Linked DNA regions of Macaca mulatta. The main gene of each other region encodes a partner of the protein of the gene in region 2 in a complex. Links are inferred from orthologs where the notes say so. Each region holds a gene or a part of one and is shown on either strand. Other genes may lie near its edges.

The links.
Region 1: CACNA1S (region 2) and CACNG1 share a complex: the UniProt entries of both Homo sapiens proteins name them as parts of the calcium channel complex. The link is inferred for Macaca mulatta from reciprocal best matches to the Homo sapiens genes CACNA1S and CACNG1.
Region 3: the proteins of CACNA1S (region 2) and STAC2 are in contact, whole or in part, in a crystal structure (PDB 6B27), measured with the Homo sapiens proteins. The link is inferred for Macaca mulatta from reciprocal best matches to the Homo sapiens genes CACNA1S and STAC2. Residues at the interface, in NP_000060.2 of Homo sapiens: Glu749, Pro750, Glu751, Ile752, Pro753, Ser755, Pro756, Arg757, Pro758; in NP_945344.1 of Homo sapiens: Tyr301, Lys302, Phe303, Gln306, Glu307, Asp310, Asn326, Asp328, Trp329, Phe340, Pro342, Asn344, Phe345.

What each region holds. Positions count from the first base shown.
Region 1 is NC_133421.1:76,808,941-76,811,259, forward strand, and holds the end of CACNG1 (voltage-dependent calcium channel gamma-1 subunit), read left to right. Parts: intron 1-52; coding exon 53-190; intron 191-996; coding exon 997-1,223; 3' UTR 1,224-1,753; downstream 1,754-2,319. UniProt on the Homo sapiens protein: Regulatory subunit of the voltage-gated calcium channel that gives rise to L-type calcium currents in skeletal muscle. Regulates channel inactivation kinetics.
Region 2 is NC_133406.1:58,708,720-58,712,368, forward strand, and holds part of CACNA1S (voltage-dependent L-type calcium channel subunit alpha-1S), read right to left. Parts: intron 3,645-3,649; coding exon 3,534-3,644; intron 2,843-3,533; coding exon 2,759-2,842; intron 1-2,758. UniProt on the Homo sapiens protein: Pore-forming, alpha-1S subunit of the voltage-gated calcium channel that gives rise to L-type calcium currents in skeletal muscle.
Region 3 is NC_133421.1:63,554,734-63,558,482, reverse strand, and holds the start of STAC2 (SH3 and cysteine-rich domain-containing protein 2), read left to right. Parts: upstream 1-1,202; 5' UTR 1,203-1,487; coding exon 1,488-1,577; intron 1,578-3,749. UniProt on the Homo sapiens protein: Plays a redundant role in promoting the expression of calcium channel CACNA1S at the cell membrane, and thereby contributes to increased channel activity. Slows down the inactivation rate of the calcium channel CACNA1C.

The DNA.
Region 1 (2,319 bases), on a different chromosome or scaffold from region 2:
CATGAGAGCTCCTGGACTGAGGCCGCATGCCGGGTGTCCCTTGTGTTTGCAGAGTACAGCATCTCGGCAGCCGCCATCGCCATCTTCAGCCTTGGCTTCGTCATCCTGGGCAGCCTCTGTGTCCTCCTGTCCTTTGGGAAGAAGAGGGACTACCTGCTGCGGCCCGCGTCCATGTTCTACGCTTTTGCAGGTAGACTGGGGGCTCCGCCCGAGCACCGGACTGGGGGGACCATGTCGTGGGGGATTCTCCGCTCCACTCTCATGCCCACCGTGGGATTTGGGTAGGGGGCATTTCCCAGGCTCCATCCCCATCCAGGGGCAAACCTGGCCAAGCCCTCAGCGACCCCAGGTGGGCTGGAGGGAGACAGAGCTTGGCGGTCTGTCCATTCCTCCCCATGATTCAACCCTCAAGGCCCCAAAGAAACTGCCCAGAGAATGATTAACAGAAGAAGGAAAGAAACGTGGTCGCCTTTCTTTCTTTTTCTTGGGGGATGAGGAAGAGGGTCTCGCTCTGTCGCCCAGGCTGGAGTGCAGTGGAACGATCACAGCTCACTGCAGCCTCGAACTCCTGAGTTGAAGGGTTCCTCCCGCCTCAGCCTCCTGAGTACCTGGGACTACAGACGTGCACCACCACACCTGGCTAAGTTTTTATTACATTTTAATTTTTTGTAGAGACAGAGGGCTCATCACTATGTTGCCCAGGCTAGTCTCAAACTCCTGGCCTCAAGCGATCCTCCTGCCTCAGCCTCCCAAAGTGCTGGGATTACAGGCATGAGCCACCGTACCCGGCCATGTGGTCGTCCTTCTAAGGGATGCAGGAATAGGGTGGTGCGTGGACAAATGGATCCTTCTGCAGGCTCCCAGCTAGAACCTGCCTTGAGGCAGCTTTTCCCCCAAGGCAAGGTCACTGCCTCCTCCATGCACACAGGCTGGGGTGGGGCTGGGGGTAACGGCAGGCACCCGTCGGTCCCTGAGCGTACCTGGCTCCGCCCCCAGGTCTCTGCATCCTGGTCTCGGTAGAGGTCATGCGGCAGTCGGTGAAGCGCATGATTGACAGTGAGGACACCGTCTGGATCGAGTACTATTACTCCTGGTCCTTCGCCTGCGCCTGTGCTGCCTTCGTCCTCCTCTTCCTCAGTGGTCTCGCCCTCCTGCTGTTCTCCCTGCCTCGAATGCCCCGGAACCCATGGGAGTCCTGCATGGATGCTGAGCCTGAGCACTAGCCCTCCTGTGGCCCTAGCGACCCTCAGGCTTCTTCTCCAGGAAGCCATGTCTCAGCCCGGAACCTTCCAGAGGGGAGGCGGGAGCAATTTTAGCTCCACCCTGCTCCCATCTGCCCCCTGCCACAGTCGCAGGCTGCTTCCTCTCTCTGAGCTCCTCTGGGCTGCCGCAGGCTCCCCTGGGAATAGAGCAAGAGGATGTCAGTCTCAATCTGGCCACAGTTGGGAAAGGCAGGGCCAGCAGGTGGACAGGTGTTTGCAAGGGCCCCACTTCCCCTGGAGCTCAGAGGTGTCCCCACTGTACCAGCCTCTGATAAGCTGCCTCCGGTTGTCCTTTATGAACATTGCAGGGACAACCTGTGTTTGCCAGTTCTTGGTGTTCTGTGTAAATAGCCAGCCCCTCCCTTTCTCAGTGATAAAACACACCCTCTCTGGTGAGCGCAGCGTCCCCTCCTTGGCTTCCAGGAGCCCTGGGAAGCATTTTTAACTGAGTAGAATCTGTCTGTGGCTTGAAATAAAAAGCTCTCAGAAAACTCACGTTTTCTTCACACCTTGCATAGAAATTGCTCAGATTCCTGGTCACATCAGGGGCCCCCTGACGCGGAATGAGAAGGGAAGGCAGGTCACCCGGGTACGTTGAGGACTTTTGTGGGGACAAGAGGGCAACACACGTGGCTTAGAGGCTCTGAATTCCAACTCAGACAGGGTTTCTCTAGGCCCTGAGATTGTTTTCGGGAGAAACTAGAAACCTTCTGATGAAGCAAGGGTGTTAAAAATAGGAGGGGTTATTTCTAGAGCCTGGCATGCAACGCACCTGGTGCCAACGCAGCGCTAAAGCAGCCAGCCAGTGTCTGATTTCTGATGCTGGATTTCTGTTGTGAAGAACATCAGGAAGCAGGGCTTAGCAGTTAGATGCTTAGGGCCACATGAAAAGCCATGATTTGCACACTTCTGCCTTCCAGAGCCCCACAGTACTTGCCCAAGCTTCCGAAGTGGAGTTCAGACATGATTGGCAGATGGGATCTTTGCCTTGCACCCTGGAGAACCCACTGGAGTTCATGCTCCTAGGGCAAGGTTTGGCAAACTGTGGCCTGTTGGC
Region 2 (3,649 bases):
GTGGCTAGAGGCTACTCTATTGGACAGGGCAGACCATTTCTGTCCTTGCAGAAAGTTCTAACCAATGTGCTCCCCTAGCCCTTTCCCTGGTTTGTACATCAGGTATGTAAATCAACCTTCACGTGACTTTAAGCAGACACTACTGGTAAGGGACATCTGCTAAAAATCAAATAAAAACCAGTGACACCCTGCTGGCCTCCACCACCAAAGACACCGTTTTGATATATCCAGGCTTCCCCTACACAGACCTCAGATTTTAACAAGTAACTATTTTTAGCTTGGGCTGTTTATTTTGGCTGTTTAGATTTCTCGGCTCTGGCTGTGCTGGTGAGAAGTGCTGCTGTCAAACCATGGAGCCTTTTGGGATACTATTTCCCAGCAAAAACTGAGTGTGGATGGAAATACACAACACACACACAGAGACACACACACACACACACGCGCATTGGTTTTGCTCAGAGCCCACCCTGGCCCTCACTAGCTCAGCGCCCCCAGGGGATCTGAGCAGATGGGGTTGTCTGTCACTGTTCTGTGCATGGAGAGTGAACAGGATTCCCACCCTGGTCCTCCCCTAGCACATCAGACAGCTGGTGTGACAGCCAAGTCCCCACTCCCTGCCAGAGCTCAGCCTCAGCTGAGGGCTCCTTCCTCAGAGACTCCAGACTTTTCCTCAGCTGTTCCTCTCACCCACACCCCACCTCAGGCATCTCCAGTGCTCATCTTTCCACCCCATCCCCAACTCACCCTAAGGTTCACCCCACAGGCTGGCACAGCCAAAGGGCTTTCCGTTGAGCAGTGGGCAGTTCAGAAGAAAGCCCTATGCATGGCTGAGCCCCTAGCTTTAGGGCCAGTCCCCTGCTGGGATCCCTCATGGCCAGGCCAGCCAGCTTTCTGACATCCCACCCTGGCTCAGAAAGAAGAATGCTCATCTTTTCTCTCTTCCCCTGTGTCCCTCCTAGGATGCCACTTGGGCAACTGTTTTTTGATTTTGGCCTCTGACTCTCGGATAGTCTCCGCCCTCCATCGTTGCAGCAACCTGCAGCTGCAGACCCACGGCAAGGCAGCCTCTGGAGGGTTCCGCTTCTAAGACCTTGAATGTGGACCTCTCCAGCTGGAACTGCCTCCCTGCTCCTTTCATCCCCCTCACAAGGCAGGTCCTGCTGCTGTTTCTCATTCCACCGCCAAGGCCTCATCCCCTTGGTCCAGATCCTGGGAGCCTTCCTATCAGCTCAACCTTCAAAATAGATCCAGACATGGATCCCTTCTCACGGCCTCCACAGCCAGCCCCGGCCCCCATCGCCTCTCACCTGGATCACTGTGGGAACCGCCTGACTGCTCTCACTGGCTCAGCCCTCGTGTCCCCTGCAGTTTAGCTTGTTCACAACACAGCAGCCACAGTGATTGTTTTAGAACTAAAGTCTGTTCTCACTTAAACCCTCCAAAGGGCTCTCGTCTCCCTCAGAATAAAATCCAAGATGGTAACCGTGGCCTTCAAGGGCCTAGATGATTTGGCCCCTGCCTTCTCTCTCCTACCTCATCTCCACCACTCTCTCACCTCATCTCCACCACTCCGTCCTCCAGCTACAAGGGCCTGCTGCTCTTCCTCCAACTCAGCAAGTACCATCCTGCTGCAGGGCCTTTGCACTGGCCTCCTGTTCTGCCAGCACTCTGGCCCCCGTTCTGGCATGGCTCATGCCCTTGCTTTCTTCAGGTCTCTGCTACAGTGTCATATGGACACCACCCTCCCATGCTCTTCCACTCTAAGCCCCTATTTCCCTTTATGTTTCTGTATAATACTATGTATTTGTCATACCTGTCGTATTAGGGATTGATTTATTTATTGCCAGTTTGTTCCACAATTTTGTTCACTGCTGTATCTCAGCAGCAAGAACCTAGCCTGGCACACGGGAGGTGCCCAGTACATATTTGAGAAATAAATGAGTGAGTCTTCTAACCGGGTCTCTTAATTTTAGTCATTCTGACTTCCTGTCGCTCACCTCCAGGCTAGCTTTTTAGAAGCAGAGCTCTAAGGGCTCAGCGTGGTGGCTCACACCTGTAATCCCAGCACTTTGGGAGGCTGAGGCAGGTGGAGCACTTGAGCCCAGGAATTGGAGAGCAGCCTGGGCAACATGGTGAGACCCCATCTGCATATTCCAAAAACATATTTTTAAAAAAGAAGTAGGACTCTAATCCTCCCACTGCCCTGTTTAAAAACCTTTAGTGACTTTCCACTGCCTGCTCCATAAAGCTGAAGCCCCCTCTCACCGCTTAGCTCTCCAGCCTCGCCCTCTCCGTTCTCGTGTCTGCATGTTCTTATGCTTCCGATAAATTGGACCACTCAGCATGCCCTGAACCTTCTTTGCATTTCCTGCTCTGTGCCTCTCCTACAATAGCCCTGCCTGAGGTGCTTGTTCTCCTCTCCAACTCCAGTCACCACCTCCCTTTCCTTCAGGCAGATGGCACCACCTCCATGAAGCCTTCTCTGACCACCCCACTCAGAGATGACTTTCCTTTCCATTACAGCTCTTGCCTTTGATAGTGTAGTAGGTACACCCATGGTGTCTCCCTGGTATCTGAGTTATCTCTTCGCCCAGCAGGATGATAGTCCCTTGAGGGGAGAAGCCACGACTTGTCATTCCATCTTTTTAATCCCTGGGGTTCCATGTTGCACACACAGTGGGCAACCCACAAATATCTGTGGACTGAACACATGCTCTTGGACCCACGCTAGTGATGGCTCTGCCTGCCTGATACTCACGTCGATCTCGCTGAGGATGACATCAATGATGCTGCCAATGACAATCAGGAAGTCAAACACATTCCAGGGGTCTCCAAAGTAACCCTGGGAGGGAAAAGGATGGAAGAGTGAGGGGGTGAGCTTTGGGAGAAAGGATCTCTGGCTGCTAGCAGAGGACAGTGTCCCACTCGAGTTAATGTGGAGCTGCGGGTCAGGTCAAGGTGGGGTGCTCTGACTCCACCTCCCTACTGGTGCTCCAGTGGGCTCCCCCACTCCAACCCTCCTCTTCCCTTTGCTCTTTATTTCCCCTCTTCCAGAGCAGAAAGTAGTGGGGGGGGAGGGGAGAATTGTTGAGATCTCAGGATTTGGGGTCCTGGTCCAGATAGAGATATCTTTCATCCCCTGAACCCCACTGAACATCCTGTCTGGGGCTTGACAGTGCAGAACTGACAGGGCTGTGCTGGGAACCATGGGAATGGCCTTGAGAATCAAAGAGACAAGGCAAGATTTTCCCCCAGCCCTGGGCCTGTTCTTCAGAAACTTCGGGGCAGGCGAGAATGTAAGAGAAGCTCAAAGGAAGAGGCACCCAGAGTCTTTCTGTCATCAGTCAATTCTGGCTGCATGAAGATTTGCCTGCCCTGTGTCTGAAGGTGGAAGTGGGCAAAGGAGCAAGTTGGGAGCAGAAGTGCTGGGCAAAGGGGCCCTGATAGGATGAGGGATGGGGTGGATGTTCCACTGGAAGGCCCCACCCCCCCAGCCCCAGCTTCTCAACTGGCCCTGCAGCCCCCACACTTACCCTGGCCTTGAAGGCCATGAGCTTAAGGATCATCTCCAGGGTGAAGATGATAGTGAAGGCCACATTGAGGATGTCTGAAATGTGGTTCATCTGCTCTGACTGGTTGTAGTGCTGTG
Region 3 (3,749 bases), on a different chromosome or scaffold from region 2:
AAGAAGAAATATTGAAATATCTTGAATGGGTGCAGTGGCTCATGCCTGTAATTCCAACACGTTGGGAGGTCAAAGTGGGGAGATCACTTGAGCCCAGGAGTTGGAGATCATCCTGTGTAACTCTGTCTCTACCAAAAAAATTTAAAAATTAGCCAGGCATGGTGGCTTACGCCTGTGGTCCCAGCAACTAAAGAGGCTGAGGTGGGAGGATTGCTTGAGCCCAGGAGTTTGAGACTGCAGTGAGTTATGATTACACCACTGCACTCCAGCCTGGGTAAAAGAGTGAGACCCTGTCTCTAAATAAAAGATTAAAAAAAAGAAGAAGAAGAAGGTTATTGTCAGAGCAGGTGGAGAGGGGGGCATCTTGGAGGGTGAGGACCTCTTCCCCCACCTCTCCGTATTATCCCCTGATCTAACTCCAGTTGTGGTAGGATCTTTAGGAGGGGAACGTGTCTTAGAGAAGTTTGGGGACTTTGGGTGTGAGGACTGAGACCCCATCTCTGCTGAAGTTCAGACACCAAGACTGGAAGGAGATACAGCCATCCTGCTTTCCATCACAAGGAGGAATTGTCCGGCCTGGCCTTTGACACATACACCATAGTCCAGGTGTGTATATTTGGAGAGAGCCTTTTCAGGATATAGAGGCATCTAATTAATGGCACAGATGGGTCCCCATTCTTTCTTCACCAACCTCTGGCATCTATCAATCTTCGCTCTCAGGAAGTCCTAACTTCGATCTCACTCTCAGCTATCTTGCTGCGGCCCCAACCTATTTCTAATCCCTGCAACCCATCCAGACTCTACTATGATCTCCCCAAGCTTCCCTCAATCTGATCACGCCCCTCCATCCCGGGTTTTTCAGTGTGAAACTCCCTCCTCCGCTTCTTTCCCCGCCAAGCCCCGCCCCATCGTGTCGAGCCCCCCAAGACTCCGCCTAGCTCGCCCTCCTGGCCACCGCGGCAGCCAATAGCTGAGAGCCTGATTTGCAGGGCGGCGCGGGGGAGCGGCGGAGGGCAGGGGGCGGGACCAGGCGACCTCCTAAATCAAAGTTGGGCGGCGAGGACTGGGCGGAGGGGCCGCCGGGTGCCGGGCTGGGTCCGGCGGGGGAGGGGAGGGGATGGGGGGCGGGCGCAGAGGACGGCGGAACCGGCCGGACACCGACAGCTCCTTGGCTCCCTCCCTCGGCTCATCCCCGCCACCCCACTTCCCTCCTCCCCGCGCTGCGAGCAGCATCCTCTGCAGACCCTCGGTCCTCGCGCCCGGGGTCGTCCCGCTCCTGCGGCTCGGCGTGGTCGCCTCGCCTCGCCCGCCACCCCGGCAACTTTCTCCGCCTGAGCCCGCGGGTTGGGGGCTGCGGTGCCCGAGGCTAACTGGGGGCAGCCTCTGGAGAAGGGCTTCGGAGTCCCGGAAACGCCCGCCACCCGCAGCCTGCCCGCGGCGGGCCTGCCGTCGGATCTCGGCACCCTCTCCTCCCCTCTCCCCGAACCATGACCGAGATGAGCGAGAAGGAGAACGAACCGGATGACGCGGCCACTCACAGTCCCCCAGGGACCGTCTCCGCCCTCCAGGAAACCAAGGTAACTTGGGGGGCGCGAGGCCTGTCCCCGCCCCGTGCGCCCCGGACCCGGGCGCCCTCTTCCTGGCGGGGTCCTCCTGTGGGCCCGGGCGTCCGAGGGTCGCGGTGAGGCCGGCGTGACCACTGAGGCTCTGCGCCGCTCCCGGGGGGAGGAGTGGGTTGGCGACGAAGGGCCACGAAGACCCCCCAATCACACCAGCACCGCACGCCCGCGCGCGCCATCGCGACCTTCCGGGGAGGCGGCCACTGGTCTTCGTTGGAGAGATGGGCGCAGCGAGGCCGGAGGGCGCGCGTGGAGCGGTGCGGGCGGGGTTCGCGCCCGGCTGTGCGTGCGAGGCGCACCCTCCATCGGCCGCCGGGTCCCAGTCCCGGGCTCAGTCCGCGCCTCTGTCCTCGCTGGTGTCTCTGAATTTGTCTCTACAACCTGCGTGTCTGTGTCTTGGTGTCTCTGTGTGCGTCTTTCCCCGTCTCTCCCGGCGCCTCCTGGTGTTTATCTCCGCGTCTCAGCGTGTCCCTCCCTGCCCCTCCGCAGTCCTGCATTCCCCGCTCCTAGCCCGGTTGGGCTCGGGGAAGCGAGGCCGCGGCCGGGGGTGCGCAGCTGCGGAGTCCGCGCGGGGGCCTGCGGCAGCGCCAGCCGTCGGTCACCGGCGGGGACGGGGGCCTGCGGTTGTGGCTCCGGACCAGAAAGACAGGCAGCCCCACTCCCCACCACGGGAGCGGGACCAGGGGAGGGGGAGCGGGTAGAAGCAGAAACAGAAGTAATTGTAATTAATGAATGTCATCATTAACCCTAATTATGGATGATTGTTACTCCTGCGGGAGTCACCGTGAATAAATTACTCCCCGCGAAGGCGGGCGGAGCCCAGACTCCTGGCGCTGAAAGTAGTGGTGGGGGGGGAGGCCGCCGCTCACACTCAGCACTCCCCCCACCTCTAATCCGTCTGCTCCCTTCCCAAGTTCTAGGTGCTGGCGACTGGCCCGCGAGAAGTTCTGTTTCTGCGGGAGTAACCTGAGCGGGTCTGGGGATGGGGCAGAAAGGGCTGTGCCAAGGGCGCGCCCTGCCCCCTCCCAGACTTCAGGCCAAGACCTCTTCCCTCCCCCTTTCCCCGGTATTTTGTTCCCATCCTGCTCCCGTTCTCCAGAGGCGAAAGGGGACAGTGAGGACCAGAAATGATGGGAGCCTGGGCTCTGGAGGCATGGCTCGCTCTCTGGGCTTCTTCCCACTGTCCCCCTTCCTCCTTCTTCCATCTTGACCATCCCGCAGGAGCTGAGGTTAATTCAAGGTCAAGGTCATCAAGGGAGTGATCGGGAGGAGGAGGCCGTAGGGTCAGGGTGGACTCTGGCAGAGGCACCCCAGGGAGCCCCCATCCTACACCAGGGGACCCAGCGGGTCTCCATGTTCAAGTCTTCACATGCACACCTGACCCTCTCTTGCCCCCTTCTAAAAATGAGACTTTGGTCTGTCAGGCCACAGCTGTCTCCCCTTTAGAGAGCCGAGTCTCAGTCTCTCCTGGGAAAGGACTAAGATGTTTGGGTGGGAGGATATTGCTTGGAATATTTGTGACAACTTCTGTCAAGCAGAGGGTCTGGGAGCTGAACCTCACCTAAGTCCAATACCCCTGACCTCGGTTGCCCTCTAGTCACCCTGGGAAGACATACACAGTCCCCCTGCTTGCCTCCAGGGCACTGGGGGCCTTCCCAGGCCCTGCTCTGTTTCCCACACGGAGGCCTGTCCTCTCCAGCCCCCTCTGTGGGAGCTCTGGAAGGTGGGCAGGAGTGCGGGGTGGTGCTGCCTCAGTACTCCAGGAAGCCGCCTGCTCAGCTGTGTGGGGAGGGGCGGTCAAGGCCTGCAGATCGGCACCTCTCCGTCTTCCCAGGTCAGGACCCTCCAATGTTGTCACCTCTGGGTCTGAGCTTGGAGATCCAAGGACCAGGGGAGAGGAGGGGTTACACCTCTGATCGGGCCCCTCTGTGCCAGGCCAGCTGGAGCCCTGGCCCTCCACCCCTCCCGTATACATCACACTCGTGAAGGATTCTGCACTAACACAGACTGGGCTGTGGGTCAGGTTGGGGGTATTCAGCAGGGCAGAGGTGGGCAGAGAGAGAACTCAGGACCCCTGCTAGCCTTCTTCCATCCCACACCTCAGCCTGGCCCAAAGAAGCTCCTGTCTCC